2 linked regions of the Drosophila melanogaster genome follow. The protein of the gene in region 1 purifies or fractionates together with the protein of each later gene. This does not show direct contact. Each region holds a gene or a part of one and is shown in the gene's direction. Other genes may lie near its edges.

Region 1 (3,454 bases):
ACTTTTTCTTGTGTAAATGGGAAAGAACATTTGTTTCCATTAAACTCGGATTAAATGTTGTGAAACACATTCGCCGGGAAAGTGCTTCATGTACCCATTTGAAAGCGGAAACTTTAAGACCCAGGAACACAAATTGCGATTGTACTTGTGTAAACAGTTTTTACTGGACCATTGGCCAACGCTATTAATAAGAATTTTTAACACAGGTTACACCATCGCCATTTTCCTCCATTCTGTAGTCTATTCCTTGCTGGGCTTATCCCCAGATCCCTCGGCGGCCGCCACCAGAGAAGACGACGATGTGGATGGACGTAGTACCACGCTGTTGTCGCTGCTCTCACTGCTCGAGTCGCCCACATTCTGTTCGATGCTAAGAGATTCGGCGGGCGGAGGAGGAGCAGTGGCAACAGGAACTGGTGGCACCAAGTTTGGAGTCCCGATGCAGATGCGTTTGGATGGCGGCGGAGCCACATGACCCAGTCGTGCGTTGGACAGAGTTGTGCCAGAGGAGACGGGCTCGAATGTCATCAGTTCTCCGAAGTAGACGTGCTGGATCACGGGAAACTTGGAGAGAATCTGTGGATAGTTTATAGTAGTTTCTGAGTACTAGGTATTCAATTAAAGCTACTTTATATTAGTCATATTACTGACTAAAGATTACCTCCTTTTGGTACATCTTAACTAGTCCCGCGTTGATCTTGGCCCATGTTGGCACATCCGTGATGCTCCACAGCTGGTTAGAGTGCTCGCCAAAGTGTCCAGTCTTGACCTTGCAGATGTAGTCGATGCAACTGATGAACATGAAGTGATCCTTGTACTCGGTGATTATCGCCTCGTCCACGAACTTCGAGGGATCAAAGGGACTCTTAACTGAAAGGAATCGTTTCAGAAAGGAAATCTTGGAGGAATCCTTCTTAATTGTTTACCCGCCAGCTGTGCACTGCCCCAGATGAAGGGCACGAACTGGAAATCGTCCAGCGACCAGACTCCTTGGCTCCCAGCGGGTTCCATGTTGTATGTTCGCTGCAGCTGCCTGGCGAGCTCAAGGTACCGATTGAAGAGTCTCAGCGCAGCACTCACGATGTCCCTTTCCTGCAGGATCTCCGCCTTGAACAGGGAGCACAGGAAGAAGAGGAAGGACAGCTCGTGGCCGGTGCCGTAGTCGATCCTGGTGGCATTGCCGAAAGATTCAGTGAGATACTGCCCCAGCTCCACCTGGTATCGCTTCTTGTCGTCTGGCAACAGCTGTTCTAGGAGTTCGGGCAACAATTCCCGCATTGCCTGCGCCCAATCCCTGTAGGCTTTGTTTCCGAACCGCTGCGGCTGCTCCAATGGAGGATTTTGCTCTACCAATTTCTCCAGTGCATCGAATAGCCGCAGCAGCTTCTTGAGCATTTCCGACTCGAAAATCTCGTCTGTGGTTTTAATGCCCTGAATGGCCGAACTGGTGCCATTTATATATCCAATTAAATCGTGGAAGGCGCGGGATTTTTGCCAAACGCCCATATCGCCGAGATTTTGCACCTTCTTCGCAATTGCCGGCAGTTTACCTGCAAATGGAGTGGTTAACTAAGCTACGAATCTTCAGAAATTCACTCAGCCCACCTGCTGCTTGGTTAATGCCACTCGCCATTATAGTTGTTTCGTTATTTAACTTCAATTTAAAGCTATTTTGATCGGGAGTTACGTTTTGTTTGTTATTTTGGGGGCATCTTCCTCTTTTTCTACGCGAGCGCAATAGTGACATCACTAAGTATGACCAAATATAAAGGCTGTTCACGCTGCGCAGCTGAAGCACATTAGTATCAATAAGCCAATCGTTTGATGTTACATATAATATATTTTGAGTCTTATAAAAAAATTCAAATCGATTAGGCAGTTTAAAACTTAAGACATTAACAGTACAATGACATGGCTTACGATGCAGCTGCAAGCATAGATGCTGTCTAGTGGAAATACACCAATGCAGGGGGAGTATCGTACAAGTGTCCATCCCTATTCGATAGATAACAACAAACTCCGCCTACGCCGGCAAAATTCAGCGACACCGCCACGAAAATTGAAAAATCCGTGATATATTTAAATTTATAGTTATTAAATTATTAGTTCATCATGATCGAGACACTGTATAACCTGCCCTTCCACATCCTGGTGCCGCCGAACATCAAGGTGCGCAGATTCAGCATTCCAATGCCGTCACCGATGGCCGTTTTCAGTGTGATTTTGTTTTCCTATTTTCTGGTGACAGGCGGTGAGTCCTAAGCTTTCTATAATTGAGATTGGTTAAACAGAGATGCAAATTGGCCCGCAGGTATCATATATGACGTGATTGTGGAGCCGCCCAGTCTGGGAGCCACGGTGGATGAGCACGGACACTCGCGTCCAGTGGCCTTTATGCCCTACCGTGTGAATGGGCAGTACATCATGGAGGGCCTGGCCAGCAGCTTCCTGTTCACCGTCGGCGGACTGGGATTCATTATCATGGACCAAACGCACACGCCGGGCAAGACGAACCTCAACCGCCTGCTGCTGACCGCCATGGGATTCATTTTCATCCTGGTCTCCTTCTTCACCACCTGGCTGTTCATGCGCATGAAGCTGCCCAGCTACCTGCAGCCCTAGAATCTCTACTGAAAAACGCTCTCTTAGTACTCTCCCACATTCGAATATCTGTAAACCGAACTGCATTCGCCAGAAATTCTAGTTTAAAAGGCTTAAAGCTGCGGAATACCAAACAAAAACTTTGATTTCGTTTTAAAATTTTGTGTAATAGTTGTAATATTGTTTAAACAGCAGAATAACTGGCTGGCTTTCATCCGAATCAGTTAAGTAAACTATAGAATGTCTCTATTCCGATGCTGTCGAATAAATAATGCAATTGTAAAGCGACTCAAAATAACAATGAAACGAGTTAAGCATTGTTTTTTTTTGGTCGCTCAAGTGGCTCGCCGAATTGAGAATGTGGAACCGAGGAAACCAAACATTTTGGCGTCCCATGGCTCTCAGTTTGCATCGTGCTGTTGGATCGAGCAGTTCACTAGTTCGTCGGCAGAAACCGATTCCTTCGCCTATATAATTTTAGAATCTATTTTTACCCCTAAATATAAGGTACACGCATGTGTAGAAGTGCGCCATTAGCTGATATTGGGCAAATAGTTACCGAGGAACGTTAGAAATACTCTAAGGGAGCAGGAAAACAACCAGCATTGCGCCTGCTACCAAGTGATGTAACCACGAGCAAAACAATTCCTCTAGTGCGCTCATCTCCCAGCGGCTTCTGCGTCGTATTTTGTTTACCTCTGGGCCGAAACCATAACAGAGACATGTCGAAAAAGTGCTCCGTGCGATCGCTGAGCGACAGCGCCTTGGCGGAGCTGGCCAATCTCTTGGTGTCCACCATCAGCTACGCGCAGTATGCCCCGGACGTGCAGCTGGACATTAACATCGTCATGGT
Region 2 (4,392 bases), on another chromosome or scaffold:
GAAATCTGCCGCGTATGTGTTTTCATTTTTGGCGAAAACAAAGAAAGACTCGGCGATGAAATGCAATTAATATGCAAGTGCCACTCATTGTGATGGTACTATTCTGGTCTATTACCTTATGGACCGAATCGCAATTATGGCGCAACTTCAACTTTGGACTCGAAAGTGTCAGCCACCGAGCTCAGCATAAATATTCGAGCGGAAATTATCAACAACTGACATTAAAATCGGAGCGGGAAAGACGCGACTTTCGGCCGGAGACGATCGCATGCGATGAAAACGCGTCCAAGTCGGAGGAATACCGCCGTAGAACTGATGACACACCCGGGCCGAATGCTCGACTTTTGTAGCGTAGCGAGCATAAAGAGAGTGCGTTGAAATGGGAAATTCATTATTTTATTTTTAAACGTCGTCGCCCTCTCTATTTTCGCAGATTGGCTTTTCCTCGCTTGTTTCTTGTTTCGTGGCAGATTGATTTATGGATTTCGGTGCAACAGGTGCTGGCCAGTTGACAGAGCGCCGAAAGTCCGCCGGACACACCCACTGCTTCCAATCTGGAAAACTGATTGGGACACAAAGCTGCATCCAATTTGCATAATCCCATCAAAGAGCACTTGCACCCAATTATGATAATTTCGGCTTGACGCACTAGGCATTATTGGCTTCGAAAAATTGGAACTGCAGTTCAAATTCAAAAACAAGGTACGGAGAAACTAAAACAAGAGGGAACGCTACAGGCGAGTTCCCCGACTATTAGATACTCCTTTCTCTGCTAGTGAAAGTTCAAACATGAATTTCAACATTTTCTGACATAGCAATAAAACTAAATTAATCTCTCTTATATATGTAGTTCCTGAGATCTCGACGTGCATACGGACGGACATGGCCAGTTCGATTCGGCTAGTGTTCCTTACCAATATATGCTTTATTGGCTCGAAAAACACTTCCTTTCACCTGATACATATTCGTTGAAAAAGGAATCTAGAATACTTCTTTTTTAATCTACGAGTAATATTTTTCATCGCGACCCGTTCATTAATCATTAATCATTACTAAATCTTACTAGTTCTGCCATTTGGTCTATAAGACATATTGGAATTGGAATGCAATTCAATTCATTTTAGTCTAGCGTTTGTACTTTTAGTAGAAATAATTCTCATATGGATGGAAGATTTCAATCGGAGTATTAAAACCAGCCCTCATTTTCTAAAATCGTGCAAAAAAGATATGAAAATTAAAGTATTAAGTGCCATTAATGCCATTAAGAATAGGTTTGGTTTTATTTTTCACCAGCCCACTTTTCAGATTAGCAATGCTAAACTCTCAGCATTACCTTTAAAAAATCGTTCTCATTTGCGACTAGTTCGAATATCTATCTACATTCTGCCGAAACTAACTAGAGAAAAACTGAAGTTCTACGTATGTAAGTATAACACATTTATTCTACACAGCATTAGCGAGGTTACACACCTAGCGAAGTCATCCTCCCAATTAAAATTTCCCTAAGCGGAGCTAGTCACCACGACCACATTGCCACTTTATTAAAACTAATAACTGTTTAATAACTGTAATAGAATAAGTTAAAATAATTAAATAATATGACTAATCACGTGTTGCTAATACAGTTAAAAGGCTAATTATTTAATTTAATTAATGTTTTGTAAACAGTTTCCATGCAGATGTATTAATAGTTTCCATGGCAGACTTTCTGAAAATGAACATTCTAAAACTTAGCGGAATTTCCCCTCTCTTTCTAACGGTTATTTGCTATGCTTTCAAGCGAAAGTAATCGATGGTAGCGAGGAGCGTATCGATGTGCGCCAGTTTTTTGGTGGCAGCGATGGTATCGCACACACATCGATTCTAGTGCCAGCCCTATTTTTTGTGCAATTATTTATTAAAAATAAGCAACGACGTGAGCGAACGACACGACCCACGAACGAAGGCAACGAAATGGCAACGCGCGGCGGACCAATGGTCGCGGGCACCGATGGCAACGACTTCGAGTTCAGGCAGCGCGTAGCTGGCACATATCAAATTAGGTTAATAACACTTCGTGCTATCGCCAGCTCTCAGCTACACTCGAAATTATCTAATTACTGGGGCGCCTGTGGCAGTAGATCCACCTGCAGGCGGCACCTACTGCAGCCGAATCGCAGGTGGCGTCCAGCCAGGGCGGCGGAGCACCCTGGAGCTGCTGCACCCACCCACTTGCTGCTGTAGGGGGCGGGTGGGCAAAGTGCCAGCTGGGCAGCATGTGCGCCCCAATATGGGGCTCACCCACACAGATCCGCCACTGAACGACCACTTTCTCTGCTCTTTTAGCCTGCTGAACAAGTCCAGGTTGAAGTACTGCATCTTCTTTCACGCCCTGCTGTTCTTCGTGATGCTGGCCAAGCTGACGTCGGACATTCTGGACCACCTGGATATCTTTGTGCTGGAGATCGAGGAGCTGGAGGTCCCACCGCCCCTGTGGTGGGAGTACGTGTGGGCCGCGTCGTTGCTCACCTCCTTCCTGGGCCTTTCGGCCGCCAGGGGCAACAAGGTGCGCGAAATGCAGAAGTATATGGTGGCCATACTGCTATTCGCCATCCTGCCACTCTTCTACTGCTTCGCCTACTACTTCTCGGACGTGTGGGAGTTCGCCACGCTGGACAAGTCGGTGGAGCTGGACGAGACAGACATCTTTGTGTGGCGCGTAAGTGGCTGGGCCAGTTAATCCCTCAAGAGCCGCCCTACTAAACCTCGGTTTTTCTACAGGGTTATCCGTACGGCGTCTTCTGGTATGCCTTCTGCTTTGTGGGCTTCCAGGTGCACGGATTTACGCTGTACTTCGCCTACAACCTGGTCAAGGCCTGGAAGGCCAGAACTGCCACGCGCAAGTTCCAGTAATCTAAATACTCGCCAAACTAGTAAACGCCGGAATGCAGGGCTAGTTGTAAATAATTTGGAAACTTGAAACTAACTCAAAACACTAGTGCACAAAAGCGTAATGAAACTATGGTAAACTAAAGTTATGCAGCTGTTAAGGTATCGCACACTTAGTCATACAGGAAGGGAAACATATGGTCGAAACTGAGCGAAGCGTCGGCGGTAAGGTTATTGTTAGTTGAAAGTTAGTTGATACCGTTTTCAAATTGATTAAATAGACTCTTATCCATATACACATGTACACCTATACACATAGACATACATATATACACACATACGCAGCCTTGTGAGGTCAACTAAAGACAAGAAGCAACTGAAGCCACCAAATTTCCCCGAGTCGGAATAAAAACTGAAAACCAACCTAGAGATCACTTCATTTTTGCTCACTTACATTTCGACGTGCCTCGTGTTTGTTAGAAACGTTTTATATATATATTTACACATGAAAATATGCGTACATCAGTTTATGTTTGCGTCCACGGATGGTTACTTCCTCGCCTAGTTGATAATTAGTTCACTTTTCTACAAATTTCGAAACCGTTTCATTTTTGCCAGTACGTTAATTTTGAATTTTATTCATCGAACCGCACAGTGCCATGCTTTAAGGCGTCTGGCCGGGTGCTGAACGTTTGAGAACTGCCCCAAACTATTTACAACCTTCTGTCACTGTTTACACACTACTATAAATAAGGATTGAAATGCAATTTGAGTGTTAAAGCAAAGTTCTTCAATTTCTGATCGTCAATAATACTGTGTAATGACAGGCATGTCGCCAAACTAAACTGAGAATTGAATTTTAATGTAATGATGTTTTTTAAATCGTAATTTATTATTCGAATTTTTAAGTAGTTTTTTAAAAATCGATCAATAAAGATGCATATATATTTGTTCTTCTGAGTGGGTTAAACATAGCATTTTATTGCGGTTGATTTAAAACAAATTTTGATAAGTATACCTATTAAGTCACTTAATGTTTATATGCTCATCTACAATATTTATCATAACTTTAAAGAGGCAAATACAAGTTCTCAAGCTTTATTTCTTGAAAAACACCACCAAATAAGGACCTTCGCCCAAAGCAATACAATCCAACACAACCCCACAGGCCGTTGCAATGCGGCTGGCAGGCCGAATTGGCCACAACAATCCAGTTTTAGTGACCATTTGTGCATCGAGGCGAGTGGAGGAGCAACAGCAGGCGAGCATTGCGCAATTGTTTACAATTGGCGACGGAGAGCCAGGAAGCTGAGACAGAGAGAGAAAAAGCTGTGGCGGAGAGCCAAAGCTTTTCCGCAGCATCCTTTTCTCCCTGCTCCGCCCGCTCTCTTAATTTTCCATTTGTACATTGCCTGTGCGAAGAACGGATGCCGAATTTTCCAACACACCATTTCGGACCGAAGTAAACACGAAAACTAAGGAAAAAAAATTGTGAAAAATTCAAAATTACGAAATTACTCGCAC

The links. The genes of interacting proteins can lie anywhere in the genome.
Region 2: the proteins of CG9662 (region 1) and jagn purify together in Drosophila melanogaster (affinity purification with mass spectrometry, with the first as the bait; one large-scale study listed by BioGRID). This does not show direct contact.

What each region holds. Positions count from the first base shown.
Region 1 is NT_033779.5:3,375,278-3,378,731, reverse strand, and holds CG9662 (uncharacterized protein), read left to right. Parts: upstream 1-1,994; 5' UTR 1,995-2,112; coding exon 2,113-2,251; intron 2,252-2,311; coding exon 2,312-2,622; 3' UTR 2,623-2,900; downstream 2,901-3,454. Other genes in the region: Ptpa (phosphotyrosyl phosphatase activator), read right to left, coding at 241-576, 662-870, 927-1,550, 1,606-1,633; CG15412 (uncharacterized protein), read left to right, coding at 3,324-3,454. UniProt on the Drosophila melanogaster protein: Subunit of the oligosaccharyl transferase (OST) complex that catalyzes the initial transfer of a defined glycan (Glc(3)Man(9)GlcNAc(2) in eukaryotes) from the lipid carrier dolichol-pyrophosphate to an asparagine residue within an Asn-X-Ser/Thr consensus motif in nascent polypeptide chains, the first step in protein N-glycosylation.
Region 2 is NT_033777.3:5,777,475-5,781,866, forward strand, and holds jagn (jagunal), read left to right. Parts: upstream 1-1,840; 5' UTR 1,841-1,953; coding exon 1,954-2,042; intron 2,043-2,325; coding exon 2,326-2,698; intron 2,699-2,760; coding exon 2,761-2,892; 3' UTR 2,893-3,834; downstream 3,835-4,392. UniProt on the Drosophila melanogaster protein: Required for endoplasmic reticulum organization and proper vesicular traffic during vitellogenesis. Required for oocyte and bristle growth.